Coturnix japonica: one gene and its partner. The protein of the gene in region 1 purifies or fractionates together with the protein of each later gene. This does not show direct contact. Links are inferred from orthologs where the notes say so. Each region holds a gene or a part of one and is shown in the gene's direction. Other genes may lie near its edges.

Region 1 (4,417 bases):
TTGTCAGGCTATCGCGAGTGAATGGAATTTGCCCAGTGCAAAATTAAGGAAAACAACAACACAGAACGGTTGAGATAAAAAGATGTAATCAAGGAAAATGTGTGTTGACTTAGTAACTGACATTTTGCAGCAGCACACATAGGTGCAAATTATTGTATCCATACCACAACTGTACTTTTTGATGGTAACCAAAGAATGTATGCTGAAGTGGTAGTGCTGTAGCATGTATGGAAAGTGGTATGTAGTAGTTCTGTGTGAATGCTACGGTGATGTCTGTATAGTAGTGACAGAGAAGAACATGAGTCAGAGGTCTACCTCAAGTTTCTTGTCAGCAGTAGGAAGACCATGCATTATCCCTGAAAGGATGCATTAAACCTGCTGCTGCCGTATGCTCTTCTTTGCCAGCTTAGGTGAGACAAATACTTACATAAAACAAAACACTTCATATTGTATTCGTAATCCAAGCACATAGTAGCATCTTCATAAAGCTGTTGCTGTAGTGACTTGTGTGCTTCCTTTGTAGCAGTGGCAGGAGTCTGGGCTGCATATCAGTGACTAGAGTTTCTGCAAAAGAAGACCACATGTCCTTTAAGAGCTTTGGAGCCATGAACTTTGAAGACTAGGATGGGAAGAACTATTCTGCAAATGGAACTTTGATCTGAGAATTTCATGGTAGGGCTGCAGAGAACGGAATGCAGACTATACCTCAGACGACATTCCTCAGAGGGAATGCAGGCTATACCTCAGACGATGTTCCTCAGAGGTGCCATTTTTCTGAGCTGCAGTTGCTATGGTACTCTGAAGTTACTCAGTATCTGAAAAGATCAGCAGCTCTGTAAGGACTCGGTAGCTAGCTACATTGCAGTGGTAAAAGTATAGAGCTGCTCTGCAGACGTACTGTAACCATGACACTGTAAACCTCTGCAGGGAGGTGTGAATCATACAATAGTTATCTTCGTGTTGAACACTGCAATATGACAAAACACGTAGTTCTACGGGGTAATTGTAGCTGGAGCATTACAAGGTCTGTCTGCAGCTTGGACTGTATTGTGAATATCCACTTGTAGGCTTTCCAACAGAAGCTCAAGTTCCAGCACTCGTTTGGGACAGCAAGTACATGCCACTGCCACCTCCATGCAGGACGCAGTAGACAGCTGGATGCTGTATGCCTACTTTATACTTTCTTTATAGGAAAAAAAAAACCAAAAAACAAAAAACCCCACCTCTTTAGGGCACCGAGCCCAAAGCAAAGGACCATTCTTTTCCTTCCCTTCTGCTTGACCAATACACTCTGAAACACAGACGGTACAGGGAAGGGCCACAGCTGTGAAGCTCATCGCCAAGCAAGCAGCCAATTTACCGCCAGCAGTAGCATTTCTTTGTTGTTATCACGTTTCCTTGCTTTCAACCTCAAAACTCCCGTTTTTCTGTTAATTACAGCCCGCTTTGCCCTGCGGACCTGAACGACCAGCCGACCCGGCCCTCGAACTCGCCCCCTGCCCGCCCCTCAGCCCTTGGCACCGCCCCCTTCCCGGCGGCTCGTGCCCGTCTCTTCAGTGCGGCTGCGCGTCCTCAGCTCCCCTCGGCCGAGGGGGAGTTGGCGGCGCTGGGGCGCGTGCGCGGCCGCCAGGAAGCTGGACCTCGGGGTGGGGGCGGGAGGGAAGCGTTGGCATGGCGGAGGCGCGGCCCAATACAGGTGAGTGCGGTTATTGCCTTCGGGGGAAGCCGGGGAGAGGGCTGGTGTGCTGAGCTGGACGGGGAAAGGAGGAACGCGCATCGCTCTGCGGTAACGTTGGTGGGCAGAGGGCAGAGCTGTGGTGCTGGCAGCCGAATGCCGGCAGTCTGGGGCGTCCGGGCTGAGGCACCACCTGTTGTTACGTGCCGCCCGCACCGCTGCGTTGTTGGGTCCGCAGTGCTGGAGGCGGCCGGGCTGTGCGTGTGCCGCAGGATGGGCTGGGGAAACTTTGGCCAGGAGGAAACATGTGAGTTTCAAGTATGTGACGAGCGAACGGGACTCAAAAAAATCAAAAGAAAGGAAAAAAAGAAGCCATTTGAATTCTGGAAAACTTACTGCTTCTCGGAGATCGCCATTATCCCCCCTTCGCGCCCCGTGCTTGCTATACTCTGCAGAGGGCGGTGCTACTGACCCGCTCCTGTTGCACAGGCATTTATAAGATTGTGGTGTTCGGTGTGTTTCCGTGTAGAGCCTTGCAAGGGTTGAAGAGATGACTAAGGTGCGTGCTGCTGGTGAGTACTCGTTCTCTCCAGTGCCCTACGGGTGACAAAACAGAGCACGTGGAGGGGGGGAGGGGAGGGTTAGGAACCCAACCTGGGGTGGGATTGAATGCCACAAGTAGAAGAAATTGTTTGTTTCCGATGGTGGTTTTTAAGGTGTAGGATCAGATTAACTTTTAATTTGCTGGATGTGGTTGCTGTGGAAGAGGATCGACCCTTCAAGATGCATATTCCAACCTAGTATTTAATGACCCATAGCGTGTTATGGGCACTTAGTACTACAAGAATTCTTATACAGTTGTGTCTTGGGTATTTAAATAGAAACTCTGTGTGCCTGGAGACATTCATGGTATTTACTGCTTTCATCACATCTTCTGTTTCTCTTGTTCTGAATAGACTTTCCAGTTAATCAGCATGGCTTGGGGCTCGCTTGATGAGCTCACTCCTCTCATTGTTAATGTAGCTGTTAAATTTTTGTCAAGTACAGAGTGCTGGACTTGAATGGCCGGGGATGAAGAAGAAAATACAAGTCTCTGCTTTTACAGCACCCTGAAGTTAAATCAGATTTAGAATATCGTTACTTTACATTTCAGATACTATCTTTAGTCTTTTCTGTTCTTAGCACCCGGGCTGTGAAGAGGGAAAAATAATCTGAGTTCATTTTTGATATTTTAAAAATGGGCCCATGGCCTTGTGGGAAGTGAAATAGCCTGTGATGTGGCTTGGAGTGTAGAGCTTGATAGATTCCATTTATGTATCTTTCCAGTTTCCAGCCCTGTGCATCTAGAAGGCATATCCCAGATTAGATGCTATAGTATTTAATGGTCATTATGGATTTCTTCCCCATGAGTAGCTGCTGTTGCTTTTGAATGTAGCTTAGTGCTTTTACCTTCACAATGGCAACTAGTTCTGTTTTCTCAACTGCCATGGTATTAAAATAAAGGTATCAGGAGGTGCTATAAAGTACTGAACATATTATAAAGGTGAACAGGAAGTGAAAATTCATTGCATTTAGACCTTAGGAAAAAATTATCCTGTAGTAGATACTCTTAGACTTGTGAGGTTGTATTTCTTATCCCTACTTAGTATTTCTCCTGTGTAGTCTTCAAATGGACTGGCCAAAACTTCCATCTTCCATTTAAAATGTGGATGCATTGAATTTGGATAAAAATGTAAAAAGACAAAAACATAGCAACATGCAACAACACTCTTTGGGTGCCAGTTGGCTGTCAAGCAGCTCCGCAGAGGGGAGTCTTAGAGACTTCTATAGACAATAAGCTGACTATGAGCCAGAAATGAAGACTTGCTGCAAAGATGACCAACAGTAACCCCAACTACCTTAGAAAGAATGTTGCCAGCAGATCTAGGAAGATGATCCTTTCTCTCTACTCAGCACCCATGAGGCAGTGTCTGGAATGCTGCGTTCAGCTGTGGGCTCCCTGTACAAGGAAGACGAAGGTTTACTGAAGACTCACATCCAACATAGGGCCATGAGCTGAAGGTATTTGAGCATTTTCATAAGAAGAGGGTCTGACAGAGCTGGGTCTGTTCAGTCTGGAGGAGAGAAGGCTTGCACAGAGGGAGTAAAGAATATGGATTCAAATTCTTCTGAGTATTATTGAGTGAAAGGCTAAGAAGTAACAGGTAAAAGCTGGTGTAAAATTTTGTCTGAGTACATGAAAAAGTCTTTTACTGTGTGGGTTATCAAACCCTAGAACACATTGCAGAGAGGCTGTGAAATATTTATTCTTGGGGACACTTGAATCATGATTGGGCAGTTTGAGAGGAGTGCTTGGGCTGTCGATGGTCTGGTGAGTTTCTTTCCAACCTCAACCATTTAGTAATTCTATGATAATGATATTTTGTGTGTTATTCTTTCTCAAATTTCTGTTAAGAATTGTGGGAAGGAAGCATATCTCATTATTAAATCACAGAATGGCCTGTGTTGAGAAGGACCACAATGATCATCAAGTTTCAACCCCCCTCTGCCATGGGCAGGGTTGCCAACCACTAGACCAGGCTGCCCAGAGCCACATCCAGCTTGGCCTTGAATGCCTCCAGGGACCGGGGCATCCACAACCTCTCTGGACAACCCTTTTCAGTGCATCACCACCCTCTGAGTGAAAAACTTCCTTCTAATATCTAACCTAAACCTCCCATGTCTCAGTTTAAAACCATTCCC
Region 2 (3,649 bases), on another chromosome or scaffold:
TAGCAGAACTTGTTTTAAATCATCTACTCCTTCACCCATAAAGATGATAGAGGCTGCAGCACCCACTCCTCCTCTGGCACCCCTGCACTGCCCTCCTGTTGCCTGGGGAGGTGCAGAGGGCCTCCCTTTATTTACCCTCTCCCAAAAGTGCACAAAAGCTTCTCTTCCTCTGATGCTCTGCAGAGCAGCTGTAAAGAGCAGGATGCCATCTCTGTCACCTTTGAGCTGCAGCAGGCTGGGAGCAGGCAACCAGCTGGGGCCTGTGCACTGGGACCAGGAGCCCTGCTCTGCTCCAGCCAAGTGATCTGTGCACAGCCAGGCTGCCAAGTGAGCTCTGCTATGGTTTTTTTTCAGCAGTGCCAGGTATGTTGGTGCTGTCAGAGCAGGCTGGTGCTCCCTACCTGTGAAAACCGGGCTGGCTGCAGGCTTGTGCTGTAGCATTTGGAAGCTATATTTAGTTGGTGACACCTGTGGGTGTTGAGTGGAAGATTTTTAGGGACTGTTTTGAAAGCGCTCTTTCTTCCTACGCTGCTTTAAGGAAGGGAAGTTTAAAAGCCTTGTGGCAAGCTTTGTGCTGTGGAGCCAGGATTCTCAATGAGATGCACGTGGAATGAATAAGACATGTGGGATTGCCACTGTTTGGTGGTTGGAGCAGTGCAGGCAGGCTGAGAAACTCCCGGGGGAAAAGGGGAAGGATCTGGGGGCATGGCTGAGAGTTTGGGCTCTCCCTGGGGTGAAATCCCCACGTGGGAGCCTTATGAAAGGGAGCTGGGGTGGGGGAGTGCAGATGGCTCCATTCTGCCATGTCTGGCTCTGCTTTATTGACACTTCAAAGTCTCCAGCTCAGAGCAAGGCTGGGCCAGCAGGATGAATCATAAGTTTTGAGGCAAGGAGGGGTACCGGTTTTGATCATCTAGGCAAAGTCAACCTGTCTTCTGCAGCAGATCAAAGCCAACTTTGAATGGAGTTAGGTAGGCTATTCATGGTGGTTCCCAGGGTGTCCCCACGCAGCCCATGCAATTCCTTGGGGCTCTTCTCTTCACCTTCCTTCCTACCCCAGTGTGGAAGGTTTTGTTTCCAGCAAAGTTGGAAGTGGGGTTAGTGCTGGAGGGGCTGCCTCAGTGGTGAGCCCAGCACGGCTGCTTGGCAATGCACAGCAGTTCTACTGAACTGTAGAGCCTACAGCAGCCAGCGTGCCCTGCAAGGCAGGTATTAAAGCCCTGCACCAAAATCTTGCAAGGCTGCAGAGGCTGAACCTTGTTCCAGCCTCAGGACCGGTGCAGCAGCCTGACCAAGTGTTGCTTTTCTGGCAGGGTCAGTTTTGACAGCTTTTTCCAGGCAGGGCTCAAGGTATTGAACCTTAAATTACCCTCAGAAGCACTCAGTTATTTAAATACTCTTGGCTGCAGTGGGGTTTAAGCCCTTCCTAGATCTGGCTCCATCTCTGTGTGTTCCTTCTTGTGAACTTGCTGCCCCTTGTTGGGATGCACCAGAGATCAAAGCAAGGCACGAGATGAGCAGTGTCCATGTGCTGCCGGCTGGGCCACGTGGGTACATGTCCACAGCCCTCTTCAGTATGGAGCTGGCTGTGTCAGCATGGGGAGCTGCCTCACCTCTTCAAGGGCATGTTTGTTTTGCTGTGAGTAACAGCAGATTGAGTTCTGTGCGGTGCCTCATGGAGCAAGCTGAACTCTTCTCCACCCTTCCTCCTTGACTGGCAAGGCCAAGAGCGGAGGGCTGAGCTAGGTGCCTTCATGCGGAGGGACAGAGTTCAGGACCCGTCTTCTTGGGGCATCAGTCACCTGTATTAATCCAGAGTGGCAGGTTTAAGTATGTGGCTTCACCCCATATCTGCACACAGTGCTGCATTAGGGCTCTCTGTTCAGTGTGCCTCCACTTAATCTTGATGGGCCTCTGTGAAACCCAGGTCCAAAGCTGGCTCTCTTCTGCTCACCTTTCCCTTGTAGGCTTGCTGTCATGAATGGGGAGGTGGCTTGCTTTCTGCTTCCCCAGCTATCAGCTGGATATAACAGTTTTATTCTCCTCCTTTTGCAGAAAACACAACTCCTGCTAAAGTGGTGAGGGCTGCCAACCCAAGACAGCGGAAGGGAAGCAAGGTAAGTCCATGCCTGCTGTGTCCCTCACTGGCCTCTAGCTTCTGATTCAGATATCAGTGCAGTGTTAGTGCCTTGAGGGTCTGCTGAGGAGACAGCTTCCTTTGCAAGTCTGATGGTGGAGGGATTGATGTACTGAACTGGCTGTCAGCAAAGAGCATGCAGGAACGTCCTCATTTTTCTTTCAAGCATTTTGACGTTTTCATGCTCTGGGGGCTGGTTCCTGCCCAGTTGGGCTGGGGGAGACCTGGTTCATCTCCCTGCCTGAAGGGGTCATTCACAAGATAGTGCTGGATGTTGAATGCTTGTATCTGCACGTTTCTTTCTTCCCTCTCCTTACTGTTCTTTACTAGTACACAGAGAGCAAGGGTAATTGACTTCATACAAAGCAACTTCTCAGGAACACCAGGGCAATCTGTTCCAGGGAATCTAACTGTGGTGGAGAGACAGTTGTTTCTGAAAATGTTGGATGCAGCTGGAGCACAGCTAGGAGTGTGGTTATTGGTGTTGGCTCCCAGCAGCCTCTGAAAACACATTTGAAACATGATATGACTTCCTTGTCTGTTCCATTTCAAGGAGGGGAGGGTTTTGGGTATGGAAGGTGCTTCTGTCTGTGAAACAGACATGGCTGTACACTGCAAGTGGCTTTCCCTGGAAATTTGCCTGCTAGGGAGAGAAGCGTGGCACCTGAGTGTAGAGACCTGATCTTATGGGCAACTTGGTGGCTACAAATTAACTTAGGAATAATAGTCCCCTCAAGGGTAAGGAGGAGCTTCTGTAACATTGTAAATTCATTCACCAAACATGATTCATTTTATGCCCAAGCAGCTGGTTTTTGGGTTCTTTCCTTGCATGCCTGCTCTGAAAGCTGGAGGAGATGGAAATGATTATAGTGGTCAGGTCACTTCTTGAGTGGAAGAGGTTGGTGGTCTTCCCATGTGGCAGCGGGATTTCTGGAACAGAGCTTGTATCACCACCACATAGGATAATGGCAGTGACAGTGTAGCTGGGAGGGCTTCTGTCTGCTGATCCAGAAAATGGCAACCATAATTTGTGCACTAATGGGACTTTTCTCTTTGTATACAAGGTTGGTGACTTTGGTGATGCTACAAATTGGCCAACACCAGGAGAAATAGCCCACAAGAGTGTCCAGGTGAGTAGACAAAATCCTCAGACACTGCATCTGGTTGAGCTGCAGTAATTTGCTTCCGCTGTAGTGTGCCCAGTGAGGCTGTGTGGTTGGCAGACAATTGCGTGCTCTGTTGCTCCTAGGTAACAGCCTTAGGGGCTAGCTTGGGTGAGCAGGCCCTTGCAGACCTCCCTGTTCTTCTGTGTCACTGGAAGCTATGGCTGAGCCAGGCCATTTGGGGTGCTGAGTGCCAGCGTGAGGGCAGCCAAGAATAGCATGCAGGGTGCAGGGGTTTGCCTTTTAGGGCTGCTATGCACATTGGGCTCCCTCCCTGCATGCTATTCTGGGAGCCTGGAGCCTGGTCTTAAGCCCTGGGCCTGGTGGAGCAGGTATGGCAGCTTCCAGA

Evidence for each region. Proteins that work in one complex are often made in the same cells at the same time.
Region 2: the proteins of NFX1 (region 1) and LARP1 purify together in Homo sapiens (affinity purification with mass spectrometry, with the first as the bait; 3 studies listed by BioGRID). This does not show direct contact. The link is inferred for Coturnix japonica from reciprocal best matches to the Homo sapiens genes NFX1 and LARP1.

What each region holds. Positions count from the first base shown.
Region 1 is NC_029517.1:73,003,638-73,008,054, reverse strand, and holds the start of NFX1 (transcriptional repressor NF-X1), read left to right. Parts: upstream 1-1,568; 5' UTR 1,569-1,671; coding exon 1,672-1,696; intron 1,697-2,204; exon of another isoform or gene 2,205-2,225; coding exon of another isoform or gene 2,226-2,247; intron 2,248-4,417. UniProt on the Homo sapiens protein: Binds to the X-box motif of MHC class II genes and represses their expression. May play an important role in regulating the duration of an inflammatory response by limiting the period in which MHC class II molecules are induced by interferon-gamma.
Region 2 is NC_029528.1:5,968,926-5,972,574, forward strand, and holds part of LARP1 (la-related protein 1), read left to right. Parts: intron 1-2,055; coding exon 2,056-2,117; intron 2,118-3,201; coding exon 3,202-3,267; intron 3,268-3,649. UniProt on the Homo sapiens protein: RNA-binding protein that regulates the translation of specific target mRNA species downstream of the mTORC1 complex, in function of growth signals and nutrient availability.